Linked DNA regions of Macaca mulatta. The protein of the gene in region 3 binds, or shares a complex with, the protein of the main gene of each other region. Links are inferred from orthologs where the notes say so. Each region holds a gene or a part of one and is shown on either strand. Other genes may lie near its edges. The genes, in order: LSM7, USP39 and LSM4.

Region 1 (4,351 bases), about 16 Mb from region 3:
CCTGATACACCCCACCCTCCTGATACACCCCACCCTCCTGATGCACCCACCCTCCTGATACACCCACCCTCCTGATACACCCCCCCTCCTGATACACCCCACCCTCCTGATACACCCCACCCTCCTGATGCACCCACCCTCCTGATACACCCCACCCTCCTGATGCACCCACCCTCCTGATGCACCCACCCTCCTGATGCACCCACCCTCCTGATGCACCCCACCCTCCTGATGCACCCCACCCTCCTGATGCACCCACCCTCCTGATGCACCCACCCTCCTGATGCACCCACCCTCCTGATGCACCCACCCTCCTGATGCACCCACCCTCCTGATGCACCCACCCTCCTGATGCACCCGGCTCCTGCTGTCTCAGGGGTTGGCCTGGGGTTCCACAAGCCCCTCATCGGACTGAGGCTCCTGACTCGCCTGTCCCGGCCTTGCCTGTACCTGCCTTGGTCACCTGTGAACCCTCACCCCCAGGAAGGACCATGGCTGGTATTTGATGAGCTCCAGGGTCTGAGTCCAATCTCCAAGAATACAGGTTTCCTCAGAAGGTCAAGGGAAAAGCAAGATTCTGGGGCTCAAACACAATGAGGTTTGCAGTTTTATTAAGAAAACAAAAATTCAACCTATACAAAAAGGAAAGCACTTCCGTTCCAGCAGGTGGCACCGTGGTGGGAACGGCGGCCAAGTCTGTGGGGAACCAAGCTGCTCCGGCCTGTCCTGCAGCCCTGGCCCGGCTACGCGTCCTGCTGCTGGATGAAGGGGTTGGGGATGGCCTCCATGCCGTCCTGCGGGCAGATCAGCACCACAGACGTGCCCCGGCACACCACGAGGCCTAGCTGCCGGGTGTCCTCCGTGAGCTTGTACTGGTCGTCAGGGTCTGGGAAGGAGCAGACAGAGAGGGCTGAGGGAGCTCCAGGAGGCCTCTGAGAATTCCCACCGACACAAGACCCTCGCTCCGCCCTCCCCACCTGCACCCTGCGGGTGCCATGAGCATGTGGGGACCCCAGAGGGGGTGCACTCTGCGGGGCAGGTCCCCGGCTCCCATGGCTCAGACCCACAGCCCCTAGAGACCAGCGACAGCTCCACAGACAGCAGCCACAGCCTGCCCTCACTCCACAAACCACAGGAACAGGGAGGCCTGAGCGACAGCCGGCTACCCTGGGTCTTGGAGCTCACTGGAGCCCAGGCACCAGGGCTGGGGACCAGGTTATCAGATGGCCAGCCAGAATACAGGCACCCCGGGCCTCCTGGTCTCTGCAGGGTTCCTGGAACCCTAGGGGGCCAATTTTCACCCTATAAGAGGCTGGGGCCTGGGTGCGGTGGCTCACGCCTGTAATCCCAGCACTTTGGGAGGCCGAGGCGGGTAGGTCACGAGGTCAGGAGATTCAAGACCATCCTGGCTAACACGGTGAAACCCCATCTCTACTAAAAATACAAAAAAATTGGCCGGGCGCAGTGGCTCAAGCCTGTAATCCCAGCACTTTGGGAGGCCGAGACGGGCGGATCACGAGGTCAGGAGATTGAGACCATCCTGGCTAACACGGTGAAACCCCATCTCTACTAAAAAATACAAAAAAACACCCAGGCGAGGTGGCGGGAGCCTGTAGTCCCAGTTACTCGGGAGGCTGAGGCAGGAGAATGGTGTAAACCCAGGAGGCGGAGCTTGCAGTGAGCTGAGATCCGGCCACTGCACTCCAGCCTGGGCGACAGAGCTAGACTCCGTCTCAGAAAGAAAAAAAAAAAAAAAGCGGCTGGGCTGGGTGCAGTGGCTCACGCCTATAATCCCAGCACTTTGAGAGGCTGAGGTGGGCAGATCACGAGGTCAAGAAATTGAGACCATCCTGGCCAACATGGTGAAACTTGGCCTCTACTAAAAATACAACAAATTAGCTGAGTGTGGTGGCAGGCGCCTGTAGTCCATCTACTCGGGAGGCTGAGGCAGGAGAATCGCTTGAACCCGGGAGGCGGAGATTACAGTGAGCTGAGATGGCGCCACTGCACTCCAGCCTGGTGACAGTGAGATACTGTCTCAAAAAAAAAAAAAAAAAAAAAAGAGGCTGTTCATGTGGGTGGGACCCACGTGGGGATCATGTGGGCTGGCACCCCAGGGAAGTACCAGCAAGCCCAAGACAAGCTCTGAAGAGGCTGACGGCAATGAAAACTCCTCACTACTGTGGTCGTGTGCTGGTGGGGGCATGGGAGAACCACGGGGCCCAGGTTTTTAACATTTTTGTTTTAGAGACCAGGTCTTGCTCTGTCCCTCAGGCTGGAGTGCAGTAGCGTCATCCCAGCTCACAGCCCCAACCTCCTGGGCTCAAGCAATCCTCCTGCCTTCGCCTCCCGAGTAGCTGGGGCCATAGGCACATGCACCGTCATGCCTGGCTAATTCATTTTTTTTTTGTTTTTTTGTAGAGACAGGGTCCCAGTATGTTGCCCAGGTTGGTCTCAAATTCCTGGGCTCAAGTGATCCTCCTGTCCCGGCCTCCCAAAGTGCAGGGATTACAGGCATGAGCCACCGTGGCCAGCTCCAAGAATAAATCTTGTGTCAGTATCAATGGGTCCGAGGGGTAAGACTGTCTCTTTCTAAGTCCTGGCCTCCCCCCGATGCCTGGGCCGGGCTGGGGACTTGCAGCAGGATCTTCTAGCGGGGAGAGTCTGAGGACCTGGCGGCCTCACTGGGGAGGAGAGCGAGCAGGGGCAGGGAAATGAGGGAGTGTTCTCTGGGGAGGGGATGGGGGCCCTGCGTTCATAGTGGGGATTAACAAGGCAGAAGAGGAGAGGGGCCCGAGAGGGGTCCCACAGCACGCTCGCTCTCCCACAGCAAGGCTGCTCTCGGCTGGGTGCCACAGCTCACACCTGGAACCCCAGCACTTTGGGAGGCTGAAGCAGGGGGATGGCGTGAGCCCAGGAGTTTGAGACCAGCCTGGGCAACACAGTGAGACCTCAGCTTATCTCTTTTTTTTGGAGACGGAGTCTTACTCTGTTTCTCAGGCTGGAGTGCAGTTGCACCATCTTGGCTCACTGCAGCTTCCGCCTCCCGGGTTCAAGCGATTCTCCTGCCTCAGCCTCCCGAGCAGCTGGGATTACAGGTGTGAGCCACCGTGCCCGGCCCCTCGCGACACCAGTTTAACAAAAACTGAAATAATACAACATTTAAAAAGCCTGTCCTCTAACTGTGCTGCGAGCATTTTAAGTGCCCTGTCAGTATGTAGAGACCAGTGGGGAAGCTTCCCCGTCTCTCCAGGCCCCACAACAATGGAGTTTCCAGCTTTGTGAGGACGTCCAGGACCGGTGAGCGCTCAGCCCGTCCATCGGCCAACACAAGGCTTCACGTTGGTGCCTCAGAGTGAGGTTTTGTGGGTTTCAGGGAGGAAGAGGCAGCAGGCAGCTCCATGGCCGCCTCCCTTGCCCTGCTGCCCCCTCACCCCACTGCCCTCCTCATCCCGCTGCCCGCCTCAGCCACCGCCCCACTCACCTCGCATGTACTCAATGGTGCCGTCCAGCACAAGGTTGAGGAGTGGGTCGAAGCCCTTCAGGATTCCACTGGCTTGGAGAAATCACCGGGGGAGAGAAATGAGAAGGCATGAGATCCATCTTGGGTACACGGCCTGCCCCAGCGTGGCCCAGGCATGGGGCTCACTGCTTCAGGGATGGAGGACTGAGGGTGGGGGAGGGCTCCCGGGAGGGGCTGGTGACAGGCGCCTCCAGAGTGACCCCCACCATGGGCAGCCGACTGTGTCTGCGGGGGGCTAGAGGACAAACACTTCTGGCCGTGTGGGCCACAGGGTGCCGGTCACAGCTGCTGGCTCGGGCTGCCTGGGTGGAAGCAGCTTCGGTGATGAGTCCACGTGTGGCTGAACCGTGGCCAGTCAGCTCGACACACAGGCACTGAAACGGGAATTTCGTATCACTTCCACATCATGAGACAGTCTTCTTTTGATCCCTTTCCAGATATTTAAAAGTCATAAAAACAATTCTCCGCTCCAAAACAGTAGCAAAACAGGCCGCGGCACATGCATGCGGTGGAACCACCAGCCGGGAAGAGGAGCGAGGCTGGCGCAGGCCGCGGTGCGGATGTGCCTGAGGACGCGCCTGAGGACGCCACGCTCGGTGAGAGACGCCAGCCACAGAAGGCCGCGCAGCGTGTGATCCCGTTTCTATGAAAGGTCCAGGACAGGCCAATCCACAGAGACAGGGAGGGGATGTGTGGGTGCCGGAGAGGCGACAGGCAGTGACAGCTGATGGGGACAGGGCTTCCTCTAGGGGAGACGGAGTGCTCTGCTGGGACAGCGGTGGTGACTGCGCTGCCTGACCCGTGCTGGGTCCCTCAGTGAGTTCACGG
Region 2 (2,422 bases), on a different chromosome or scaffold from region 3:
TAGAGGAAAGTGAGGACAGGGTTGTGTCCAGGTAAAGGGTGGCACCACAGGAATACACGGCTCCTGTCTCCCTTCAAGAGAACTTGCTGAGGCTGACTGGCTGCCTCCAGCTGCTTCCCACATCTTTGGACCTGCCACAGTGCTCATGCCAAGGTCACCCTTCTTCTAGGCTGCTAGAGCCCACTACAGAGCTGATGAATTGTCTGACAGGGAATCTTTGCCCTGGGGCTCCACACTGGCCTGGTTGAGACCTTCTCAGAATTGCACTGTAGTGAGAAGAACTTCGTATTTCCTTTCTTTCCTCTTCCCTTACTCATTCCTGCACTGCAGCCGGAGACTGCCCACCTCTGGCCTTCTAGTTAAGCACAATAATAATGTATCCCCTTGACTCAAGCATTTTTCTACTTAGAAATAAATGCATCCTAACTGACACACCACCCACAAGCTGACAGGAAACGGCGAGCATGGTGTCTGCCAGATGTCAGACTGTAGGGTAGTTTGTGAAGATTAAAAAGGAAAATATTTTCCTCAGCTAACCACCAAATGAAAAGATATAAAACAAGAGGCTAGTTTAAAAACAGGAGAATATTTAATCCATCTAAAAATACACATCAGGAAATGAAGGAAACCATAGGAAAATCCTCCACCTCTAACAGACAAGAGTGAGGTTACTGGCTTTCTGCTTGCTCCAAGAATCCCAAGGCTTGATGTTTGGAAGAAATTATCTGTTCTTCAGCTACTCCCAGATACTCAGACATAAGTTACACACATCTGGAGAAGGGTTCTGCCCTGCTGAAGCTAGAAGGGAGCTCGATGCATGGGAGAAAGGAGCATTAATCTAGAAAAAAATGATCAAAGAACAGCTGGGTGACAGTGTGGGGCCATCCCAGGCAAGTGGGCTCCTGGTGCTCTGGTGTAGCCAGAATCCATACAAGCTGGGCTGGCCCAGGGAGGCCCCCAGTCAGCCTGTAGCTGAATAGCTACAGCTTCTGTGTTCTTATTTACCATCATCAGCCACAGCCCTCGGAAGCAAAGCCCTGGACGCCTCCTTCAAGCCCCCTGCTGGTTGGTTTCATCATTATCTCGCCTCTTCCAAATCTGTAAGAAATGAAAACACAAACTGAAGTCTAGGAGGCATTCAGTCAACAGATACTTGTCAAATACCTATTCTGTGCCAGGCCATGGATAACTCGTCATGCCATTTACAAACCTGCTATACTCCATCTGGAAATCTGCTACAGTGGCTACAGTCACTGAAGGGAAGAAACAGTTATCTCTAGGAGAGGTATCACTTTCTTCTTACAAAGCTATGGCTTTTGTCTCAATCTTCCTTCTTTTGCCAGGTACTAGGGCAGTTACATAAAGAGAAGACAGAGATGCTCTGTGCTCCACGGGTCAATCCAATGGAGAGGACAGACAGGCAAAGCAATATGGTCGGCACTAAAACAAAAGGCAAGCAGAAAGTGCTGTGGGGTCACAAAGAGAGCTCTGCCTGGGGCTCTTGAGGAGTACTTCACAGTCGACTTCTAGCCAGCCTCCCTTCCTCCTTGAAACTAGACCGCACACTTCTGCAAAACTAATCTAGCCATAATCACAACTTTCTTTGCTCACTCATACATTTTCTTATAACTATTTTCTGAAAATCTCTGCTTGACTTTCAGGGCCATATATTCTGGCCCCAACTCACTCCTAAGTACTTCCCAACAGGTACCTGGCCCTCCAACCAAGGTCCTAACTCTATCCCTCTTCCTGCCTTGGCCCACTCCTCTCACTGGCCCCATACCCCACCTATTTGTGGCTCACTAAGCCTGTGGCCAACCCACCTGAATGTAAGCCTCTGACAGTGTGATCATCTGGGGAAGGATGTCAGTCACCTGGAGGTCTTGTAATTCATACCATTTGCCTGTCCCCTGCAGAAAGTATGAAGAGCTGGGTTAGTCTGCTCTCTAAAACCAAAAGGGTGTAGAAGGAAATGATCATAGCCAAGGTTAGAAAAATTAGAATAATAGCCACTAGACATCATCCAGCAAGAATCATAAAGAAGAGAGTACATGGGCCGGGCGTGGTGGCTCACGCCTGTAATCTCAGCACTTTTGGAGGCCGATGCGGGTGGATCACAAGGGCAGGAGATCAAGACCATCCTGGCTAACACGATGAAACCCCATCTCTACTTAAAATACAAAAAATCAGCTGGACGTGGTGGCGGGCGCCTGTAGTCCCAGCTCCTCAAGAGGCTGAGGCAGGAGAATGGCGTGAACCTGGGAGGCGGAGCTTGCAGTGAGCCGAGATTGCACCACTATACTCCAGCCTGGGTGACAGAGCGAGACTCTGTCTCAAAAAAAAAAAAAAAAAAACAGAGGGTACATGACTTCTGTGGGCCTGATTCAATTAACAGGACTTTTGATGTGTCAATCATGGCAAA
Region 3 (4,135 bases):
CGGGTCCTCCAAGGCTGCAATGGCCTGGGGCTGTGACCATATATCTTGATTTCTCCTATATCCTCATCTCCAAACTCTGTTGGAGAAAGAGGTCAGAGGAAGGGGTGGATCCTCAAAATCTTAAAAGAAGATACATCAAAGTGCCAGGTGAGGCTTGGCACAGTGGCTTGCGCCTATAATCACAGCACTTTGGGAGGCTGAGGTGGGAGGATCACTTGAGCCCAGGAGTATGAGACCAGCTTGGGCAACACAGCAAGATTCTGTCTCTACAAAAAATGTAAGAATTAGACAGGTTTAGTGACGCATGTGGTCCCAGCTACTTGGGAGGCTGAGGTGGGAGGATCACTTGGGCCGGTGAGGTTGAGGCTGCAGTGATTGTGCCATTGCACTCCAGCCTGGACGACAGTGAGAGCTCAGTTCCAAAAAAGAAAAAAAAGTACAGAGTGCAGTGGCTCACACCTGTAATACCAGCACTTTGACACACCGAGGTGGGTGGATCACCTGAGGTCAGGGGTTCAAGACTAGCCTAGCCAACATGGTGAAACCCCATCTCTACTGAAAATACACAAATTATCCAGGCGTGGTGGCGCATGCCTGTGATCCCAAGCTACTTGGGAGGCTGAGGCAGGAAAATCACTCTCTCCGAGAGGTGGAGGTTTAGTGGGCTTTCTTGCAGCATCTGGAATCTGGTTCTCAGGTCTAGATCCACAAAGACCTAATCCAGTGCCTCCTAATTCAGGAAGCTGTCCAGGACTGCCCATCCCCGCTCCTAACCCAGGCCACTCCTTCTGGCCCTGCCCTGATCACAGGGAACTGGAAGTGTGTATCCCATGATGCCTTGTCCATTCTTGGCCACTCCTCCAGGAAATGGCTGGATAGCCAGGACTCTGGATGTTCAGAAGGTGGGAAGGGGCTGAATGAATGAGTTCACACTTTGCCCAGGCACCGTTCTACACACTGGGAATATAGTTGGAAGAAAAAAAAAGATTCTGCTTCCACAAAACTTAACACGGGTGGATCCTTCCAGCTCTGCCCAGTCTTGCATGCCAACTCTGCCCTCTAAGTACATGGCAGAGGGACAGGCTCTCTAAATCCTTGCTCTTGAAACCGCCTTTGCAAAAATTGTAACTGAGGAAATTATGACAGCGAAAAGAGATCAGACCTAACCGACTCCATCGTGCTTCTAACCTTTAAGCTGTTCTTGTTTATTCCTGGGCATAGGCCGAACTAACCTTGGGAAGGGATTTAGTGTATAGTTTGAAACAAAATTGGTAATAGCCCTTTCCCGAAAAGACCCTTTTCTTGCCTGGGGACCAGTCTGCCTTTGTAGGACTAACAAATTAGCTGCACGATTAGAAATTATTGTTTACGGGTCATACAGCCTCTGGCTGCAAGAGTCTGAACCTCCCCAAATTGCTCCTAGGGATAACATCACTATTATAAAATCTAAGATCAGTGTTTGAGATATTTTGCAGACCCTGTACTTGGTGGATCAGCTGACACCACCCAGACCAGTAATTTGGCTCAACCAGTCCTGCAATCCCACCCAGGAACAGAAGACAGCAAGAAAATCTCACTTCAACCCCCGCCCCCGCCCCCCCCCCCCCCCCCCCCCCGCCAATGACTCCATCTCCAACCTCAGGAAGCTCCAACCAATCAGCACTCCCCACTTCCTGAGCTCCTACCCGCCAAATTATCTTTAAAAACTCGGATCCCCTAATGCTCAGGGGAGACTGATTTCAGCAGTAATAAAACTCCAGTCTCCTGCATAGCTGGCTCTGTGTGAAATACTCTTTCTGTATTGCAATTGCCCTGTCTTGATAAATGGGCTCTGTCTAGGAAGCAGGCAAGGTGAACCCGTTGGGTGGCTACACACTGACCAGCTGGATTTAGGGAGAGCTCTCTCACTAATCCACAGTTCTGATGCAGCCACCCCTGGGGGGCCCTCCTGGTTACTGAATCTCCCACTGTCTCACAGTCTGGAAGTCACATCCCCAACAAGGGCCTTGGTTTCTCTCATTGAAAAAAGAAGGGCCAGATGCTGATGAGCCAGGAAACTCCCAGCTCTGGATTCCTTTTCTGATCTGCACACTGGGAGACACAGGCACTTTCTAGCCCAGATCCAGAACTTACAGAATCATAAACAATGTGGCCCTGCAGAGACCTGGGCTGCAATTTTTCCTTCTGTGTACGGGGAGGATGTACTTTGCCCACCCCTAGCTCAAAACGCTCCCTTCCTCTGGAATGACATGCTTTGTGAACCAAGGAGAAACACCACACCCCAGCACCAGGCCTACTTTTCAGCCAGAAAACAAGAGGCCTAGGAGGCTCTGCTGCTAGCATTTTAAGCATCTTACAAGCTCTGAAATTCCTAAAACCAAGTTTCACAACTCAGACTGGCCCCCTACTTCCCAGCACTCTAGGTTTCAATCTGGGAGGTCAGACTGGGTCCGAAGCGTAAGGGACCCCCTTCCCTGCCCAAAAACTCTCTGTTGCATTTGGCAGATCCCCACTTTTTTAACCTCAGTTTCCCAACCTGCAAAATGGGAAAACTAAGTAAGGCGAGGCCACTGTACTGTGGATACGAGTACGTGCAACCCTAAATCCCAGACACGAACGTGGTAGAACCACCTGCAGTCTCCAGCATCAGTTTCCCGGCCTTGTGCCGGGGGACGGGACTCAAGGCTCGGACCGTACGTTCGCCCCGCGCCAACCCAGCCCTCAGCGCCCGCCCGCAGGGCTCCTAACGACTGCGGTTCCCGCCTCCCGGTGAGACCCCGCCGTTGCTCTGCCCTCACCATGGTGCCGGCGGGGACCGGGCTCGCCGGCCACTTCCGCCGCCGCCGCTGCACACGCTCCCGGCGGTCTTCGCCACGCCGCGCCGCGCGCCACTGGGCTGAAAGAAAGTGGCAGAGACGCGAGCCAGTCAGCACCGGGCTAGAAGGGCGGTTAACCAATCCACGCGGAGTGGGGCGGGGCCCGCTAGGCGAAAGGGGCGGGCCGGGCCGTGTTCCCGCCAGAGGAACGAGGAAGAGAGCCGTAAAGTGCCGCGGCTTGTAATACAAAAGGGGGCGGAGCAACGCGCGCCGGGGCGGGGTGCATTGTGGGTAAACGCGTGCGCAGGTGAAACCTTCGTCGGTCTTCTGGGCTCCACGCTGTGGGCAAAGCCAGTAACTGCCTTTGCAGTTGAGGGAGAGAAATCCAGGCTTCGTGGTGATTGGGACGTCCCTGGTGTCGCCCTTCGGACTCCTAGTTTTCTGATTCTGTAATTATCCAGGGAACATCATTTAGTAGGTTGGAATCCTGACCACGACCCTCGGGGCCTCAGTTTTCTCCCTGTAAATAGTAGTGTCTGCTCCAAAACGTTACTTACTATGAGGATGAAATGAATGAAACCGTGTAAAAGCACTTAAAACAGCGTCTGGCATATATTAAGTACTTAATACCTATTCTGTGCCTGCTTCTGCTCATAGAAATGAACAGTACACAAAATTCGTGGCCCTTAGGGAGACAGACAGTAAACAAAGTAAATAGGCGAATGCTATTAGTTCCCTGGGGCCTGCTGTAACAAATGCCCACACACTGGGAGGCTTAAAACAACAGAACGTGATTTTCTCATAATTCAGGAGACCAGAATAATGAAATGAGGTTGTCAGTAGGGTTGGCTCCCTCTGGAGGCTCTGAGGACAATCTGCGTGTCCTATGCTTCTCTCCTGGGTTCTGGTGGCTGCTGGGAAACCTCGGAGTTCTTGGCTTGTAGATGCAGCCTTCCGCGTTCTGCCTCTGTCGTCACTTGGCCTTCTCTGTGTGTCTCTGAGTCTCAAACGACTCTCTCCTTTTTTTTTTCTTTTTTTGTAGAGACAGGGTCTCCCTATGTTGTCCAGGCTGGTCTCGAACTCTTGGGGTCAAGCAATCCTCCCTCCTCTGCCTCCCAAAGTGCTGGGATTACAGGCGTGAGCCACCGAGCCCAGCCTCTCCGTTTTCTTATAAGGACACGCCTTTCTCTTATTAAGCCCACCATAAATTCAGGATAATGTCATCGCAAGATCCTTAATTACATCTGCAAAGACCCTATTTTTTTTTTTTTTTTTTTTTGAAATGGAGTCTCATTCTATCACCCAGACTACAGTGCAGT

What was found.
Region 1: LSM4 (region 3) and LSM7 share a complex: the UniProt entries of both Homo sapiens proteins name them as parts of the precatalytic spliceosome. The link is inferred for Macaca mulatta from reciprocal best matches to the Homo sapiens genes LSM4 and LSM7.
Region 2: LSM4 (region 3) and USP39 share a complex: the UniProt entries of both Homo sapiens proteins name them as parts of the U4/U6-U5 tri-snRNP complex. The link is inferred for Macaca mulatta from reciprocal best matches to the Homo sapiens genes LSM4 and USP39.

What each region holds. Positions count from the first base shown.
Region 1 is NC_133424.1:3,071,060-3,075,410, forward strand, and holds the end of LSM7 (U6 snRNA-associated Sm-like protein LSm7), read right to left. Parts: intron 4,120-4,351; exon of another isoform or gene 3,961-4,119; intron 3,557-3,960; coding exon 3,485-3,556; intron 887-3,484; coding exon 744-886; 3' UTR 595-743; downstream 1-594. UniProt on the Homo sapiens protein: Plays a role in pre-mRNA splicing as component of the U4/U6-U5 tri-snRNP complex that is involved in spliceosome assembly, and as component of the precatalytic spliceosome (spliceosome B complex).
Region 2 is NC_133418.1:38,743,354-38,745,775, forward strand, and holds the end of USP39 (ubiquitin carboxyl-terminal hydrolase 39), read right to left. Parts: intron 1,911-2,422; coding exon 1,824-1,910; intron 1,099-1,823; coding exon 1,051-1,098; 3' UTR 588-1,050; downstream 1-587.
Region 3 is NC_133424.1:18,849,856-18,853,990, forward strand, and holds the start of LSM4 (U6 snRNA-associated Sm-like protein LSm4), read right to left. Parts: upstream 2,908-4,135; 5' UTR 2,802-2,907; coding exon 2,799-2,801; intron 1-2,798. UniProt on the Homo sapiens protein: Plays a role in pre-mRNA splicing as component of the U4/U6-U5 tri-snRNP complex that is involved in spliceosome assembly, and as component of the precatalytic spliceosome (spliceosome B complex).